Linked DNA regions of Caenorhabditis elegans. The protein of the gene in region 1 interacts with the protein of each later gene in a biochemical or structural test. Each region holds a gene or a part of one and is shown in the gene's direction. Other genes may lie near its edges. The genes, in order: egl-3 and fsn-1.

Evidence for each region.
Region 2: of the proteins of egl-3 (region 1) and fsn-1, one has a biochemical effect on the other in vitro, tested with the Caenorhabditis elegans proteins (one study listed by BioGRID).

Annotation. Positions count from the first base shown.
Region 1 is NC_003283.11:10,166,708-10,177,884, reverse strand, and holds egl-3 (Neuroendocrine convertase 2), read left to right. Parts: upstream 1-4,131; 5' UTR 4,132-4,133; coding exon 4,134-4,409; intron 4,410-5,120; coding exon 5,121-5,261; intron 5,262-5,771; coding exon 5,772-5,825; intron 5,826-5,875; coding exon 5,876-5,968; intron 5,969-6,373; coding exon 6,374-6,864; intron 6,865-6,916; coding exon 6,917-7,375; intron 7,376-7,440; coding exon 7,441-7,735; intron 7,736-7,954; coding exon 7,955-8,104; 3' UTR 8,105-8,708; downstream 8,709-11,177. UniProt on the Caenorhabditis elegans protein: Serine endoprotease which cleaves preproteins at paired basic amino acids. Processes FMRFamide-like (flp) and neuropeptide-like protein (nlp) neuropeptides.
Region 2 is NC_003281.10:4,933,359-4,942,227, forward strand, and holds fsn-1 (F-box/SPRY domain-containing protein 1), read left to right. Parts: upstream 1-3,963; 5' UTR 3,964-4,002; coding exon 4,003-4,089; intron 4,090-4,228; coding exon 4,229-4,442; intron 4,443-4,491; coding exon 4,492-4,855; intron 4,856-4,907; coding exon 4,908-5,055; intron 5,056-5,594; coding exon 5,595-5,780; 3' UTR 5,781-6,095; downstream 6,096-8,869. Other genes in the region: eri-9 (Zc3h12a-like Ribonuclease NYN domain-containing protein), read left to right, coding at 18-412, 464-732, 780-1,184, 1,226-1,300, 1,351-1,560; mrps-18C (Large ribosomal subunit protein uL3m), read left to right, coding at 2,220-2,410, 2,457-2,845, 2,923-3,050, 3,164-3,328, 3,374-3,712; rpb-2 (DNA-directed RNA polymerase II subunit RPB2), read left to right, coding at 6,244-6,378, 6,422-7,549, 7,595-7,995, 8,043-8,331, 8,405-8,647, 8,696-8,869. UniProt on the Caenorhabditis elegans protein: Component of a SCF (SKP1-CUL1-F-box protein) E3 ubiquitin ligase complex which is required for the restriction and/or maturation of synapses in GABAergic neuromuscular junction (NMJ) presynaptic neurons.

The DNA of each region.
Region 1 (11,177 bases):
GGGTCTGCAGCTAGGTTTCGTTGAGAAATAGTCATACATTTATGAACGTAGAATGAAAAACTGAGAAGGGCATTGACATATTAGAAGGGGAAATTAATGAAACAATCTCCCAAACAGGAGACAACTCTAATAGTTATTCACGATATCAATCATTTCAGAAATTTGTGTTTGTTCCGGCATCGTTTTTCTGAAAATTCACAATTACTTCAGAAAAATTTGCACGTTCTATAAAAATGAGACTTTGATGCAATCGGAAGTATTTTCGCTGCTATTTTTATGTTTTCTAAGAATTTTCAAATAAACTTTCACATCATCACGAGATACATAAATGAATACGGAAAATGATTTTTTAATATATAAATAGTTATAAATCGTTTTGAATTCATATCATCTTCAAGAGTGATGACGTTTTCCACTTGCAATATGTCATTTCACTACGATGACGTCACCTTGAGAATGCTCGACAACGTCCTTCAATGGGAAATATTTCAGTTCGAATTTCCTTCCGCAAGCTGAATGTGGTCGTCGTGCTCATTTTGCTCTTTTTTTGCTTTGAAAATAACCTAACACATTGTCCATTGTTTGTCGGCGTAACATGTTTTGTCTAGACATTGGCTGTTCAGCTTTAAAACATAAATTTTCTTTACCAGTTTTAATTTTAAAATTCAAACACATATTGTTTCAAATACTCCAGGCAGCTGTTCTTTAATCAGAATATGCTCGTGTGAAACTTTAGGTATTCTTGAAACATATGTAGGTCCAAGAATAAGAAAAGTTTCAATATTTTCTCTCAAATGGAATATTTACTTTGTGTCAAGAAGCAGCTTAGAATTCAGGCAAAATTTGATTTTCAAGAGTTACCGCACAAAGAACCAAGAACTTTGGACCACACGTAAACAAGCTTCGAACCGATTTCAATAGAGGATAACATATGTTTCATAAATACTTTAGAGTTCTATCAATAATTGTATGAAGTTTGTAGTGCAAATCATGAAAAGTCTTGTCTGATAAAAAATAAATATTACTTATATGTAGTATTTTTTTAAAAACTATATTTCTTTTAATTCGTTTTAATTCAGTTGAGCTCCTAGAATTCCCTTTAATCATTACAAGATCATGTGTTCCCAGTATTATAAAACAGCTGAAAATTTCAATGTTTTTTCAAGCAGAAACGCACATTTTTCATGAAGTTTTTAATACGCATATTACGAATGTACTAGTCCACGGGGATTTTTTTGTGGATTTTCGTTTAGTCTGGCAACAAACTAAAATGAAAAAAAAAGAAAATAAAGAAGCTCTTTCCTTTCTCTCATAACTTTTTTCTGTTTGTTTTCACATTGTGATCCGTTCTCTGAAATAGACTAATAGCTCCATTAACACACTCACACAACCTGTCTCTTCACGTCATTTCGTTTCAGCTCATTTTGGTCGCTTTGTGGGTTTGAATATATTGTATCAAAAAGGTGTACTTATTGTCTGACAGAAGCTTTGAGCGCATCATAAACATGTAGAATTCTTATGCTACTTGATTGTGAGAATAGGTACTTGATTATATACAATATCTATGAGTCACATAATAAAGTAACTTGGAGGAACTTCTAAGGTAAGCGGCACTTCTTCCCACGGAAATGCCGACCTACGTGCGTGCCTACGCCTATTTCCTGCATGTTTCCTGTTTGCCCAGAGTAGACATTTCTTCATTTCTTATTTCAAGACACTCATTTAGCTTAAATTTTTTCAATGGAAACTTTTCATTTTATCTATTAAGAAATATTTACCACCTAATAGTTTACACATCTTATAATTTGTTTACAAAAACTTTTTTCAAAACTTGAAAACTTGCACGTAAACGTAATTAGTTTTGAAATGTGCAAAACACAAAAGGAACAATGACGTCTCTTTTGCTATTTCTTCTTCTACAACTTAATGCAGCACTCAAAATGGAATTCAAGAGTTCTGAATTTGAGCTTTTAAAATGAGATTATCAATTACATATTAGGCTCTAAATTATAGCTTAAACTATAATCTTAATTTCATAAAGGTCAAAGAGCTCTTCCATTAGGTTAAGCTGCTCTTGCTCCATGCATAGGCTCTCGACCATGTGCTTCATTCCCGGAAACTCCTATTCACTAGAGTCCTGGGTTTTTGAACTCTTGTTTCTGAGAGTTATTCTCTAAGTTTTTTCTTTTCCTTCTTCTGAGCGCCTTGTTCCTTCTTTACATGAATTTGATCCCATAAAAATATAATTTCCTGTAAAGAAAACGTTATGATCTCTGGCTTTCGTTCATTATAAATAAGTTTGCAGACTTGTTGGAACACGAATAAAACCAAATTTTTATTTCTAGAGAAATTACACCTTTCCCATAATCCGTAAGATTCTAGCAATGTGTTGTCGAAAAAATATGTACTATTATTTCAATTGTTCGACTTTAACAGAAGACCAATTTTCCATATTTAGCTGTGGTCTAAAAAAACAAGAACACTGAGTTGATAGTATCACGGAACACTAAATTCAAGAAATTTGTTTATGAAAAATATAGACATATTAAAAAAATGATATTAAATTTTTTAAAGGAAAATACCAATATATAACACAGCCACACTAGAACCATTGTCTCGGTGACATTATTTACTTTCCAAGAAATTATTCCAATTTTCGTGCGAATATTCCGAATATTTTGAATATTAAAAGATCTTTCTCACTTCCCTTCAAATTTCCCGGTTCATCTCATTTGAGTATTTTGTCGAAAAACACGAAGGGCTCCTGATGATGATGAATCGGGGGCATACACAGATCCAAGCACATCTTCTTCTTCATTCTCTTTCCCTATGTGTCATTCATTTGATTATCTCTTCACTGCTCTGACTGGAAACGAGGCAGAAAAATGAACAAGCATGTGAGCCGAGAGAAAGTCGAGAGCTCTTCCAAACTCATACTCTCTCGCTTCAGCACTCACACACATCCCATCGCATTTCAGAAGAGGCAAAAAAGCGACGTCATCTGAAATCGAAGAGAAGACTCATAGAGATCTGTGTGCGTGAGTGTGTATGTGTGTGTGTGAATGCCTAGAGCCAATGAGAGCTGCCGAGCCAAGCAGATCGATAAGGTGCAGTGCCCAGCGACGGCTTCATCGTATCGATCAGTGTGGGCACGCGCACAGCTTTCACCCTCACCACCTCTTCATAGTCGTCATCTTTTTCTTTCGCCTTCTTTTTTCTTCTTTTTCTTCTCCTGCTGCTTCTTCGTCGCCTATCTTCCCCCTGCTCTCCGAACCGCCCACTTTTTCAGCACTGCTGTGAAGGCTCAACCAAACTGACATCTTTTCTCGTTTTCTCGTTTTCCGAGTTTGCGCCCGCGCACAAAAAAAAAGATTTTGACATTTCCGGTTCCAGCCATGTTATTATGAATTAGATGTTTTTTATTCTGAAATGATAGCTCAAAGATGCTCTTTTGCGACCCATTGACTCATTCTTATTCTGAGCTTGATCCAATATATTCACGTCACACGCTCTCTTTTGATAAGCAGTTCCGGGTTGAATCAGCCCAAACGACATACATTTTTATTCAGCTTTTTTGTGGAAATGTCAAATCATATTAACGTATTTTTCGTTTTTATAAATTTTGGATGAATAATATTAAGAAAATCTTGGTATTTAATAAATTTTTTCATGAGGGAAACTGGAGATTACATGAAATTTTTAAAAATATTCTAGTTTCAAACAATTTAAAATTTCAAAAATAAAAGTTTCAAAGTCGGAGTCCGGACCCGATATATTTCTGTGAACTTCATGAAAACTTTATCCTTTCAAGTCGGCCGATTTAACTGAATTTATCATCAGATGCCTGACTAAACTTCCGCAAATTTGAAAACCCGTGTTTTTTTTTAGAAAAATCTAAATATCTCTCTGAAAATTTTTTTTGCAACCTTTCATTACATTTTTCAAAGGTAAGACATTCTTCAAAACGCCTTTAAACTTTTATTAGAGTAAATCAAAAATTCTCGGAAGTTGTGTGAAAAAAAACCAGCCTTACAAACCTGACTCATATTTTATTCAACCTCATTATTTTCTTTATATTCTTTCGATCTATTGTCTTTTCGAATATTGACAATAAATATTTTTCAATTGAAGGTATGAAAAACACACATGTCGACCTAATATGTGTGTTCCTGTCGATTTTCATCGGCATTGGTGAGGCGGTCGACGTCTACACCAACCATTTCCATGTTCATTTAAAAGAGGGAGGTGGACTGGAAGATGCGCATCGGATAGCCAAACGTCACGGATTTATTAATAGAGGACAAGTTGCAGCAAGTGATAATGAATATCATTTTGTGCAACCAGCACTTGTTCATGCACGAACCAGAAGATCAGCAGGTCATCATGCTAAACTTCATAATGATGATGAGGTAAGAAATCATGGGTTACTGTAGACTTGTTGCTGTTTTGACCAAGAAAAATGTTATAGAGAAGCATATAAATTGGTAATCAGACTACTTTAAAAAAGTAAAAGTTCGGTTAGACAGTTGAAAATTACATTTTACAACTTATGATAAACATCGCTTTATTTAACAGAAGTTCTTAATTCAAATTGAGGCAAAAACAAAAAACTAAATGATGTGAATTTCATAGAATTTAGTGCGGCACATTTTTGCCAAAATTTTAAAAGTTATATTAACTAGGCGATTTGCAGTCATTAATTGAATACTGACACTGACATTGAATGGAATATAATTCGTATTATTTCGGTAATTACTGATCGCAGTATTTATTATCATGAACAAGTGCTGGTTGCACAAATATTTAAACTAGAAACATTATACTACACAGTTCTGTTCAAAAGCATTCGTCACCACATAATGTGAAATTTGTAAAAAAAACAATCATGACAAATTCAACAATGATCCGGACAAATTTTAACTTTCAAAAACAAAATATATTGATATACTAATCCCATAATTCTCTTCACCATACACCTATTTTTACAACATTGATCAGCTAAATCTGTGTTAAATCCAATTCAAAATGGTCATTCATTTGATCATTTAGAGCAATAGAATATTCCTTCCAACATCTCTTCCCTACGTCATTTCATCCAACTTTTTTCATTCTTTATTCAGGTTCTTCACGTCGAGCAGCTGAAAGGATACACCCGTACAAAGCGAGGATATCGTCCGCTTGAACAGCGACTGGAAAGCCAGTTTGACTTTTCAGCAGTCATGTCTCCATCGGATCCACTTTATGGATATCAGTGGTACTTGGTGAGTCAAGGAACACATTTTGAACAGAAATAATGTTACTTGGTATTTCGAATTCAGGCAACCACGTGACGCAATTCGTTCAGTTCGTACTAATTTCCTAGTATTTCAGATAGTATGCATTAGATAATGAGAATAACAAAAATATTTCCGTCTTCAACGTTTTTTTTAATAAATCGTAATTCCAGAACTAAGGACACGAAAACATTGATAACTTTTATTAATTAAACCTGCACAAAAGTTTTTTTGATGTTTTTCTGATCGTGCACAACGTCTACCCTCTCCCCCCATAAATTAGGGATCCATTTTCTTGGTTGTCCCTACCCTGAGGGCTTCATCAGAATTTCCTTTCGTCTCGTCTTTCCGTTGCTTTCCTCCCAACCATGTAAATAGTTCATGAGATAACTTCGTCATGAAAAGAAAAAAACGAGGGAGGAGAATAAAGAAAAATGCGCCCCAATGTTCTGCTGCTCTGCGCCAAAAAATTCTCTCCGAAACATGCTCTTTTTCCAGAAAAACACTGGACAAGCTGGCGGAAAAGCTCGTTTGGATTTGAATGTGGAAAGGGTAACAAATTGAAAAGAAAAATAAAAATTTTGGAAAATAAAAATTTTAAGGCTTGGGCAATGGGATTTACTGGAAAGAACATCACAACAGCGATTATGGATGACGGAGTGGATTACATGCATCCGGATATTAAGAACAACTTTGTAAGTCGTCTGATTACACATTACAATCAGGGTCTTATCGTTTTGGTAGAAACTCACATATTTTGATATTTGAGACAAATAGTGAAGCCATAAAATAGGGAAACTGAATTAAATTCCAAAGCTGTCTTGAGAACACTAAAATGCCCAGTAAATTTTTTTGGATTTCTCTTCGAAGAAATCAGAAACCAAAAATGTAAAGTCTAGAATAACCAAAAAGCTATTGAAAACTTACTTGAGAGCCATTTGTCTCAAAAAATGGATTCTCAAAAGTCTCATTTGTAGACGTAACATAATTGAACATTTATTTCACTGATTTTTATAATCTTTTTAAAATTGATGTTTAAAATTGAAAATTTCGTCAAATTATCTGTTTACAGTAGATTTATGAATCGAATTTTTTTCCAGAATGCCGAAGCTTCATACGATTTCTCATCAAATGATCCATTCCCATATCCAAGATACACTGATGACTGGTTCAATTCCCACGGAACTCGATGCGCCGGAGAAATCGTTGCCGCCCGTGACAACGGTGTCTGTGGAGTCGGAGTTGCCTATGACGGAAAGGTTGCTGGAATCAGAATGCTTGATCAACCCTACATGACCGATCTCATTGAAGCCAATTCAATGGGACACGAGCCGAGCAAAATTCATATCTACTCTGCTTCATGGGGACCGACTGATGATGGAAAGACTGTTGATGGACCACGTAATGCCACTATGCGAGCAATCGTCAGGGGTGTCAACGAGGGACGTAACGGACTTGGATCCATTTTTGTTTGGGCCAGTGGAGACGGAGGAGAGGATGATGATTGTAATTGTGATGGATATGCGGCAAGCATGTGGACAATCTCGATCAATTCAGCCATTAACAATGGAGAAAATGCTCACTACGATGAGTATGTTTCGAGTTTTATTTTCACTTCAAACACAAATTAAAACAAACTTCAGATCTTGTTCATCAACCCTTGCTTCCACTTTCTCCAATGGAGGACGAAACCCAGAAACCGGAGTCGCTACTACCGATCTCTACGGAAGATGCACCCGATCTCACTCCGGAACTTCCGCTGCTGCTCCAGAAGCGGCAGGAGTCTTTGCCCTTGCTCTTGAAGCCAATCCATCTCTTACCTGGAGAGATCTCCAACACTTGACAGTTCTCACTTCAAGCAGAAACTCCCTGTTTGACGGAAGATGCCGTGACTTCCCATCTCTCGGAATCAACGATAACCACCGCGACTCTCATGGAAACTGTTCTCACTTTGAATGGCAAATGAATGGAGTTGGACTCGAGTACAATCACCTTTTCGGATTTGGAGTTCTTGATGCAGCAGAGATGGTCATGTTGGCAATGGCCTGGAAGACTTCCCCACCACGTTATCACTGTACTGCTGGACTCATTGACACTCCACAGTAAGTCACTTTTACAGAATGACCATTCAAATTCCTAACTAATCATTACGTTAAATTGCTTTCAGTGAGATCCCAGCCGATGGAAACTTGATTCTTGAAATTAATACTGATGGATGTGCCGGATCTCAATTCGAAGTCCGCTACCTGGAACATGTTCAAGCAGTTGTCTCGTTCAACTCGACTCGTCGTGGAGATACCACTCTCTACTTGATCTCTCCAATGGGAACCCGTACCATGATTCTTTCCCGCAGACCAAAGGATGATGATTCAAAGGATGGATTCACCAACTGGCCATTCATGACAACACACACATGGGGAGAGAATCCAACAGGAAAATGGAGACTTGTCGCCAGATTCCAAGTGAGTAATGCATTCATGATGAACAATTTTATTTGAGCACTTAAATATTGTATACCTTTTTCTAAGTTCGCCTAACGTTTTTTTAGAACTAGATCGAAATCGGCTGCGAAATCGGCTAAGATAAGATATCTTAAAATGTTGTTTTCTCATAGATCAAAGCACAACATTTATATGATAATCTGTACACAAAATTTTCTGTAAACACTAATAATGTTTCAGGGACCTGGAGCTCATGCCGGAACCCTTAAGAAGTTCGAGCTGATGTTGCACGGAACAAGAGAAGCCCCATACAATCTCATCGAGCCAATCGTCGGTCAAACCAACAAGAAGCTCGACACCGTTCAAAAAGCCCACAAACGCAGCCACTAAATGTACAAAATTCCCCAATTTCTTCCTTCCTTCAAAAAATTTCTAAGAATTTCCTCTTCCTCCTCCTCTTTTTAACTAGTTGAAAATGAAACAGATCATCGAGCTTCCCAGTCGACCCGCCCCCAATATCCGGTGATCCGTATTGTTGTAGTCGCTTCGGGTGCCGCACACAGATTTACAGATTTTTATATTTTGTAAGTATATTCCATCAAATCGTCCATCACCACCATTCGCCCCACCCATTTCTTCTTTTTTCTATTTCTCCCTCTTCCTTTTTTTCTCTCCCCTTCATATTTTTATTGTCAGTTTTTCGACCCGATCATCACATCACAATTGTTAAATGAGCTGAGCCACACACACACAAACACAAATGACAGACACAAAACATCATTACCATCTGAAACGAAAACCGAAAAGAGCCCTTAAAATCTCTCTCACTCCATCATCACACCATCTTCATTCGCCATGCAAATCCCTGCGCGCACAAGTCGAACCACCCATAATAAATCGTTCGGAATTGTTATTGACATGCAGATAGTTCAATTTATTTGTCTGCTGCAAAAACTATAATTTCCTTTTTAAAAATGATATGATTCACTTGGTCTTTTGTCGAACAAGAAATAATCAAAAAATGACGCCACGAACATTGGAAAAGTACTTTCTAAAAGAATCCGCCTTTTCAAAATCATGACTTTTGGTAAATTGCAACACTAGATGCTTAGTCACTATCCAATTGATATCTCTCAGATTTTTTGGCTTTCTGAATACGTTTTTGAAGTCAAATGTAGTCAACAAAGTTAACTCAAAAGTTAAAAATACACTTAAAAAAATTAAAGCTATTTTAACCCTCTGTGTTTTTCTACAGTATACCTTCTAATTTATCGGGAAAAATAGTTCGTCAATCTCACAAATCCATCTAGAATTTCAGAATTTAAATATTTCTTGAAAAGCATAAAAAATCCCGGTGCAACTAAAAAAATTATATATATATAAAGTTGTATGTAAAAATTGTATGAAAAACTGGTTGTTAAATACAACTTTTATGATTATGTTTTGTTGTTTATTTAACTGAGTGTAGACATTTTGTCACATTTAGACCTTAAAATCTGTTATCATAATTTCGACAAATACTTTAAATAAGTTTTGCTGTACGAAAAGGATTGTTGTGTTTTAAGTTTTTATTTTTTAATTTTGAGATCAATTATACTTTATTTATTATAACTGTTGGAAAATTGCAACATGCAGTATTCCAAAAGTGTCCTGCCCAAATTTTTTATGCGCTCCTCATTTTCTTTGAAATGAAGCAAAATGAACTTGTAATAAATATGAAGACAGTAGGCTCTTTAACGATTGTGACATCACACTCTCTGAAAATAATTTTGACGTGTTTCCAAGAGTATATCAGGTATGGCACGTCTTGAATGCCTCTCAGGAAAATTAGTTTTTAGGAAAATAAAATCTCCAGAATATCTCAATTCAAATTTTGAACAATCACTCTTAAACTTCAATCAGTAATTGCCCCACCCCATTTAATTTTTGCCCATTTGTCGAATTCGTCCCAAATTGAACGTCTCTTCATCGTTTTCTCTTCTGCCAGTAGTCGTCAGACAATGATACGTGCCTGTTTGTCGCCTCTTTTCTCTTTCTCTACCACAACAATATGCATTATCACTTTGTATACATACAGATTCTAATTCTTCCGGCATTTCATTTCCTATTCACTGTTTCTAGCAAACCATTTCATTTTTTTTAGTACTAAATAGATGAATTATATTCCAACAAACGAACACGTTCATTCTCATCCTTTTCAGATCTTTTTCTGACACATTCTGTCATTGACACACTTGGAAGATTGCCAATCAAATCTTGTCGTATCCATTATTATCTCTCAATCTCTCTTCCATCTCCATAAAGATATCCATTGATCAGCCAATGATATCACCATTTCATTTGATTTTAGCCTTAATCTACTTTTTTAAAAAACATTAGTCAATTAAAATTGTCTCTTCAAATTGAAAAACTATAACCAGCTGACTTAACCTTATCAATGAAAAATAGCAAGAAAAGTAAGAGTGCACATAGATTCACAACATTGGTACTGGAATAGCGTTAATGAGCTTCACATTTTTCTTAAATAATTTGATTAGCAAGTGTTCCCGTTTCACAGACATATGTTGCCATTTTGGTATACCCCGAAAGTATATCCCGAAAGGATTGAAGGTGTGCAAGGAAATAAAAACTAGTTTTGGACTAATAATTTTGTAAGCAATACGAACTGGAAAAACACCGTATATTATTTTATTTTATTTTCAGAAAAGTAATACGTACTAATTAATTTCACTGCTGCAGACATTATTTCTTTAAGAAATCATGAATTTTATATATTTTCACAAAGTTCTCACAAGTCGGAAAGACGTTCCCAAACCAAAAAATAACACTAATTTTTAGTAATGCTATTTCACAAAAATTATTATTGATGCGACTAGAATTGCGCCGGAACAAAACACATTAATCCGTCCATCTACCTGTATATTTCATTTTTGTGTTTACTTTGTTTCTAGCAGTCTGACAAACAACGATTTTCCTGAATCTTTTCCACCGATTGTCCATGATAACTTTTTAGAGTTAAAAACATATGATAAATAGTCTAGTTAAAATAATATTTGATATTTTATAATAGTCACATTGAAATCATATGTTGATCATATCAGTTTCGGTAAATAAAAATGTACTCAGTCTGCCTTTTTATTTATAAACATGTATCATTATGCATGTAGTTTTCAAACAGTGGATCTCTGAACTCTGAGGGTAATAATTGTTTTCTATTGGGGACGAAGTACGAGTCTATTCTACTTTTTTGACAAAACCTAATAATGAATTTGCTCCAAGCTTTTTAAAATTATTAAGTTTTTTAAAAATAAAAGAAGAAAAAAGTGAAGTTCGACAATTAGAACACGTGCTTAATATAATATTTTTTCACGTCTTTTGTTACACATTCTAATTCCAACGTGCCGTTTGGGGATTCAAATCCACGTGTAATTTCATGCCTTCTAATTTCAAAGTGTTCCGTTTT
Region 2 (8,869 bases), on another chromosome or scaffold:
TAAATACCTTTGACAAGTTTCAGAGATACTCCAAATTTTCGCCCATGGCTTGATGGGCACTTTTCGGCTCCAGATTTGCAGTTCAAACAAATAGAAAAACAACGACAAACTAAACTCCATTCATACACAGGGACCACGTTACAAGAAAAAAAACGCAAAAAACGAAAAAAAATATTGAAAAGTATTCAAGAAATATTGTGGCTTCTACACTTCCAGAAACATGATGATTTCTTGGAATCAACGAGTCGCCTCACAATTAAGAACTTTTCATGCCATTTTGATGAACATCAGCGGCTTAAATTGCTGCGTAACAACGATTTATCATTAATATGTAATTATCAAATCGGATCAGAAAATACTCCAATTTTTAACCAAAGAAGCACGGATTGTATGCTTAGACCCGTATTTATAGGTTGGTTACTTTCATATTTAGATGTTTTTAACTTTGAATAATTCGTTTCAGATGGCTTATCATTCATGGACATGCTAATTCCGATCTCATCGTCGCTTCCAATAATTTCCACGAGATCTCTACTTGAAATACTTTTAAATTTCATTCTAGACGGGTGCCAAACTGTAATATACTTGCCAGATTATTATAACGATACAACTAACCAAAAAGTCGATGACTCGACTATTTTTCAATTCTTGTGCAATTCAAAACTTATACAGTTTGTTGACGGGCGGAGTCGGAGGGCTGTGGAACGACAAGTATTGCTTGAAGCTGAAAAGGTTATTCTTTTAGTTTCAAAATTCGTTAATTTGAAAATAAATTTTAGGTCCATGGAGTCTTTGTTTCCTCAGCGGAAGAGTTTCTAACCCGAAACGCTATTCAATGCTTTCCAGTGATTAATCGTTATTCTAAAAGACTTGATGAATTTCTAATTTGCACAGTATTCCTAGTCAATAATCTTCCGAAAAAAATACTCGCACAAGATTTCGTTGAAGAATCTAGAGTTTTGAAACCTGAAGGGAGTTCTTCAGCCGTATCAAGCACAACTGTCCTAGAAGAATCACATCAAAAAATCAGTGGAGCTATGGAAGACTCTGAGGATGAACCTGCTGATCCACAAACGTTGAAACAAGAATATTTGATTAAAGAGGAATGTTCTGAAATATCAGAAGATTCTGAAGAAGGAGCTATCGTCGATGTTGCTTCCAGCTCAGGCGACTTATCCGAAAACGTAGGTGCAATCTAAATTTTGTAAAGTCTAAATTTTTTCAGCGTGATCAGAAATCTGAAAACGAAGAATTTGAATATTCCCCGCATCAGTTAACTCTTGAGCAACAAACATATTTGGTTATTTTTTCCAGTTTTCCGTTCAGATTGATTTATCATCAATATTTCAGATTTCCTCTATGGCGCAACTCTCTATTTTCCATTTCCAACGCTATCGCCAAATAAGAGTATTCCTTATGATTATAAAACGTTACGTGCCAGAACTTTTACCTAGTTTTATGCAAAAAACTCGCATGGATGATGTTGCTATGGCAATTCAAGACATTCAGAACGGGAAGGACCTTCTTTATTGGCCTATTTTCTCAAAAATTGATAATTAATATGTTCAATAAAAATATTTTCGCATTTCTTTGGTTTTAAACTTTTATTTTAAAAATTCTTGGTAATATATACCCTGAAAATTGTATTTTAAACAAACAATTGCATTTTTTGTTTGAAAAATTTTATTTGAATTTTCTGGCAACAACACTCCGAAATTCCGTATGCGCGTGTTGTTTAGCCGCATACGAAACACCCAGTTTCTCAGGAGCATTGATTAAAGTCGGGCTAAAGTAAAGTTAGCAAGCTTCTTTTGAATTTGAAGTTCGTCTTTTAGTTATAATTTCATTTTAAGTAATATGCCTAACCTTCGAATTATTTGTTCTTCTCGATTTATTCGTTAGTTCCTCTGTTCTCAGTATCTTCCCGTCAGATTATCATTACCGACTTTTTTATTCCCATTTTTCATTACTTAGCAGAATCAATCACTTCATTTGGCTGAATAGCTACTATTTTAACACAAGTTTCTTTGATGCTTGTCAGAAGTGTTATTCATTCAAGGTATAAAGCTATAATTAGCTATGCCATCATTTTATATTTCGTCCAGCTCTCGTATCTCGCATTTTTATTTCCATGCGGAGTTTCTGATGATATTTTCTTCATTTTTATTCTAGAATTTCATGATCAATTATATCTCACTAATATTTAATCTTAATTACAGATGCTCCGTTCACTGGTATCCAGTGTGACGACGGGTCCGACTCCAGAATGGGCCGGGAGAATTCTAATGGCCTTCAGTGGACATATCAGTCAGCAGAGAGGTCGCAGAAGAACATTGACCCCAGCTCCATGGCTTCCGCCAGTCAAAGAGAGTGTGCCGAAAAGCAGTGTGGGTATTAGCCAGGGGACAAAGTAAGTTGCATTAATTCTTACCTGTTTAGCAAACGTTTTTGTTCAGAAATCTGCTTGAAACCGTAATTGAGAAAGAAACTCTTGCGGCGTCCACCATTGCATTTCAAAATTCTCAAGAAACCAATGTCTCAGTTGTTGACATTCCAGATTCATCAAGACGTGTGGGTCTGGTTGTCCGCAAAATCGGAATGCTCCCACAATGGACAAATGAAGGAAACCGAATTCTGTGCACTGTGCTTGAAGTTGATGAAAATCATGTTGTCAGTATTACATCACCAGAGGCTTGGTATAAATCGTCAGCCGTCGGAAAAAGAAAGGCTTTCAATCGTCACGGTCCTATGTGGAGAGTTACAGTGGGTGCCGGAAATGATGATCCAACAAAATACACGCTTGGGTACCGTAGGCAATTTGTTCGCGCAGGAATTCCAGTGAAAGGTTGGGTTTTTTTTGTGTTTTGCTCCGCTTTTCGATAGTCCTTCACCGTAAATTCATGGTTAAAAAAATAAATTCAGAGAAACTCGGATGTTTCCTGGTAACAGAAGACGCTCTCCCCAGTGCTGGACAGCCACTTGATGCCCGTCACTTCGGAGTTGGTCAATATGTAACTGCTACTGGAAAAACTATTGACTGGGGATTCCAGGTAATTTTTTTCAATTTACAATAGTCTAAAACTTCCAAAATTTCCCTTGCAAGCCAAGGAGCAAAATAATCTCTCAACCCTTGCGAAATATTTTCGAAACTAGTCGTTTTCAGGGTGGAATGCATCGATGGGGAATGCGTGGACAACCGACAAGACGTACCACAAAATCACATCGTAGAATTGGTTCCGTTGGTTCAGTCGGCGATGCTCGAATTTGGCCAGGAAAACGTATGCCGGGACATATGGGTTATGAGTGGAGGACTGTTTCTGGTTTGGAAGTAAGAAATTGCTCTCGATTTTAATTTTCAATTCATTTATTTAAGATTGTTCGAATCAATGTAGATAAACAAGTAATTTATGTGAAAGGAAGTGTACCTGGTGATATTGGAGAAACAATTCTACTTAAAGATTGCTTACAAGAAGAAAAACGTCTGAAATCCGGCCCAATGCCAACATGGGCTCCATCACTAGAAACCATCGAAGAAGAACCGGAGACAGAACCCGAAGAAGGCACAATTCCCAAAAATCTTCTTTTCAACGAAAAATTCTCGCCCAAACTGTTCCGTTTCACATCTCCATCCATTTTATTCACTGATGCCGACGCCAAGAAGGCCACTGGAAGAGATAAAACGAAAGCTAAGATTGCAAAAGTTAAAAAGTAATGGTGTATCTAATTTTATGATATATTACGGTTTTCCTTTATCGTTTTTTGTCGAAATTCGGTTTATTAGAATTTTTGTTCCGTAGATTTATAGATTTTTCATTGTTTTGCATTGTTTTTGTTTGTTCTGAATACCAAAAAGCAGAGTTTATATTCAATTATTTGTTGATTTTTTTCCAAACCGGTCGTTTACCGAGATTTACTTTATTTCTTAACATTATGCATTCTGAAACTTGGATTCTCAATTTGAAGCGAATGACAAGACTGTGGTGAGCTGGTTAATCGAGAAGTATGGCTGAAAACGACGGGGAAACGATTGTTCCAGACGAACAGTGCAATTTGACGGCCTCAACGCCTATGAAAAGTAGTGGGTTGGAAGTGAGTTGCTTTCTTTTTTCAAAATACTGTTTTTGAAACTTGAATTTTTCAAACTTCAAAGCTAGACAATATTTTTAAAAAATTGTTTATGAAAACAAGCTATAAAATAATAAAAAAGGGAAATATATTAAATTTTCAGCAAGTGGAAAGCCCGAAAGAACGAAAAACTTCAATGGTGGAATGTGATGACGAAGGGAATCCATCATCAGGAACCCCAGATGAATCACCAAAACAATTGACTCCGCATAGCATTCCCCCAAGACGACGACGTTCTCCACGACGCCCGGAAGTGTCAGCTTCTAGACTTCCTCTGAAAGTACTGAATCAGATTTTTCAGTATTTACCATTGAAAGGTAAACATATAACATTTTCCCCCTTGAAGTTACATGGCTCTGTTTTCAGACCTACGATCTGCAATGCTAACCTGTCATAGTTGGAATAACGCTCTTTCAATGGAAGACAGTGACATATGGCAGTACCTTCTTGGCAAGAAGCTTCCAGAAGCAGCAGTTTCCGATCCCTTCCTGCTCGCCGAGCTGGGATCTGCAAAAAAGAAGCTGAGAGCCTGGTATTTTGCCTGGAATACGAGCGATATTTCAAGAAATAACTACATCCGTACCAACGGTTTCACTGTTCACCGGCAGCCAGTTGCTCAGTCAACAGACGGTGTCCGTGGAAAACGAGGGATTTCAAAAGGAGTACACGCATTTGATATAACTTGGGATGGACCGTTGGGAACTGTAGCCGTTGTTGGTATTGCTACTAAGTGAGTAGTTAATTTATTTGAAAATTTAAAGATATATCTTTAACATTTTCAGACATGCTGCTCTTCACTGTGTTGGCTATGTTGCTCTCCTCGGATCAGATGATCAATCATGGGGATGGAATCTTGTAGATAATGTTTTGATGCACAATGGAGCACAGCTTGGTGTTTATCCAAAAATGAACAATCCTCCGAAATATGAGGTATTTCACTAAAAAAATTCAGTTATAAGCCGATGCAAGCAAATATATTTCGTTCTAGGACGAAACAACGGTATTGGGCCACAATTTTACAAAATACGACGTTCTTGTTTTATAAAGTTGTTTAATATGTGAAAAAGTTCAATTTTTCATCTCTAACAATTTAAGAAACATGAACGTCATGGTAAAATCGCATGACGAGTTTTTTTTGAGTTGTCGAGAAATTTCCAATAATTAACTTTTTCTGTATATCTGCATTGTGAAAAGTGCTAGAAATTCAAACCATTTTTTTTATTTCCTCGGCTAGAATTCACAATATTCAAACTTCGATAAATTGAAACAATTATTTTCCATTCACTAAAACTGTACAGAAAAGAAAAATTATATTTTTTAACAAAGTGAAATTTTAAAAATTTAGAACAAGTTTTTTTGTTGTTTTTTTTTTTTAATATTTAACTTCCTGAAAAATTATATTTTGAAATAATGGTTTAAAATCTTCGAATAAACTAATTAGTTAAAAACTGAAATAATCCTTTTTCCAGGTCGGCGATAAAATCCGCCTAATAATCGACTGTGACACCCATGTCGCTTACTTTGAACGAAACTCGGAATTTCTCGGAATCGCATTCAACCATATTCCCCCATTACGTCTCTATCCGGCTGTCTGTGCGGTTTATGGCAACACAGAAGTGACAATGGTGTATGTTGGAAGTCCACAAATGGGTTGAAGACGTTCGCTAGAGCGTATATTCTGACTTCTGCGCGCGTATTTATTCGCCACTCAAAATGTAATTATTCACATGTTTTCATCGCTTGTCTCATATTTCTACTGTTATTATAATTTTCAGAAAAATATGAAAATTATTTAATTCTGATATTAAACTTTACCTGTAATTAAAACACTCATAATAGATCTTTTTCCCGCACGCTTTCCTCTCACACACTTTCTCATTCCCATATTGATCTCTTTTATTGCTTATCGAGCTTTTCTAGTCACTTCGTGATAATTGGTCCATTTCTCAATGAAGCTTTTTCGTCGCTTTATAATAATATTATATGCTTTTTAAATTGTTTATTCGGTTTTTTCTTTGTAAAAATCCGCTAAATACCTATAGTTTTTCTTGAATTCTTTTTTCCTAATCATCAACTTTTTCAGCCTCATATCAGAATCACTGTACGTCGCCGGCAAAAATGATGTACGATGATGAGGATGAGATGGTTAATGACCCGATGGACGGAGACTATATCGATGATTCGGATGAAATCAGTGCAGAAGCATGGCAAGAAGCATGTTGGGTTGTTATCAGTGCTTATTTCGATGAAAAGGTATTTTTGATTATAAAATCATGAAAGAATCTCTTTTTTGAAGGGTCTCGTTCGTCAACAACTTGATTCCTTCGATGAATTCGTCCAAATGAATGTGCAGCGAATTGTTGAGGATTCTCCGCCAGTCGAACTTCAATCAGAAAATCAGCATCTTGGCACAGATATGGAAAATCCTGCGAAATTCTCATTGAAATTCAATCAAATTTACCTCTCGAAACCAACTCACTGGGAGAAAGACGGAGCACCAATGCCAATGATGCCTAACGAAGCTCGTCTCCGAAATTTGACATACGCCTCGCCACTTTACGTAGATATCACTAAAGTGGTGACAAGAGACGATTCAGCAACGGAAAAAGTGTACGACAAAGTGTTCGTTGGAAAAGTTCCAGTTATGCTACGGTCTAGTTACTGTATGCTTTCCAATATGACAGATCGTGATCTAACAGAACTCAATGAGTGCCCACTTGATCCTGGAGGTTATTTTGTTATCAATGGTTCGGAGAAAGTACTTATTGCTCAAGAAAAGATGGCGACTAATACAGTTTACGTGTTCTCAATGAAAGACGGAAAATATGCATTCAAAACGGAATGTCGCTCTTGTTTGGAAAATTCATCTCGTCCGACATCCACAATGTGGGTTAATATGCTTGCAAGAGGAGGAGGTGGTGGAAAGAAGACGGCGATGGGTCAACGAATTATTGGAATTTTACCATATATTAAACAAGAAATTCCGATTATGATTGTGTTCCGAGCGCTGGGATTCGTATCAGATCGTGATATTCTTGGACACATTATCTACGATTTCAATGATCCAGAAATGATGGAAATGGTCAAACCTTCGTTAGATGAAGCTTTTGTCATTCAGGAGCAAAATGTTGCTCTCAACTTTATCGGAGCTCGTGGAGCAAAACCAGGAGTAACCAGAGAACAAAGAATCAAATATGCTCGTGAGATTCTTCAAAAAGAACTTTTGCCTCATGTTGGTGTATCTGAGCATTGCGAAACGAAAAAAGCATTCTTCATCGGATACATGGTGCATCGTCTTCTTCTAGCCGCCCTCGGACGTCGTGAACTTGATGATCGTGATCACATTGGAAACAAAAGACTGGATTTAGCCGGACCACTTCTTGCTTTCTTGTTCCGTTCCCTTTTCAGAAATCTTCTCAAGGAGGTGAGCTTTCAATATAATTATATCTCGAATGTATTCAATTTTCAGATGAGAATGACAGCTCAAAAGTATATCAACAAGAATGACGACTTTGCTCTTGATGTCTGCGTCAAAACTTCAACAATAACTCGTGGATTGACATATTCATTGGCTACCGGTAATTGGGGTGATCAAAAGAAAGCACATCAATCGAGAGCCGGTGTGTCTCAAGTACTCAATCGTCTCACCTACACGGCCACACTTTCACATTTGCGTCGAGCGAACTCTCCTATTGGACGAGAAGGAAAACTTGCCAAGCCTCGTCAGCTGCATAATACTCAATGGGGAATGGTGTGTCCTGCTGAAACTCCTGAAGGACAGGCTGTAGGTTTGGTGAAGAATCTGGCACTTATGGCATACATCTCTGTCGGTTCGTTACCAGAGCCAATTCTGGAATTCTTGGAAGAATGGTGAGGATTCTCCGGTCTATTGTAATTCGTAAAGTATTATTTTTCAGGTCAATGGAAAATCTTGAAGAAGTGTCTCCATCGGCTATTGCCGATGCTACGAAGATCTTTGTCAACGGTGCATGGGTGGGAATTCATCGTGAACCCGATCAATTGATGACGACGTTGAAGAAGCTTCGACGTCAAATGGACATCATCGTTTCCGAAGTATCAATGGTTCGTGATATTCGTGACAGAGAAATTCGTATCTACACTGATGCTGGAAGAGTTTGCCGTCCATTACTTATTGTTGAGAATCAGAAATTGGCATTGAAGAAGAGACACATTGATCAGTTGAAGGTAAGATTTTTTCAAAATAGTATGATTTCCAAAACGACAACGGGTCGAGTTATAAAAATTTCAATGATTCCAGGAGGCTGCTGACGAAGCGAATAAATACACATGGTCTGATCTTGTTGGTGGTGGAGTTGTCGAACTGATTGATTCAATGGAAGAAGAAACATCAATGATTGCAATGATGCCAGAAGATTTGAGAAGTGGTGGTTACTGTGACACTCATACTCATTGTGAAATTCATCCAGCCATGATTCTCGGAGTTTGTGCCTCAATCATTCCATTCCCAGATCATAATCAATCACCACGTAATACATACCAAGTGAGTTGTTTTTTATACGAATCAATCATTAATGTAATACAATTTCAGAGTGCTATGGGTAAGCAAGCTATGGGAGTTTATACAACAAATTTCCATGTTCGAATGGACACTCTTGCACACGTTCTCTACTATCCACAAAAACCGCTTGTCACTACAAGATCTATGGAATATCTTCGATTCAATGAACTTCCAGCCGGAATCAACGCAATTGTTGCTATTCTT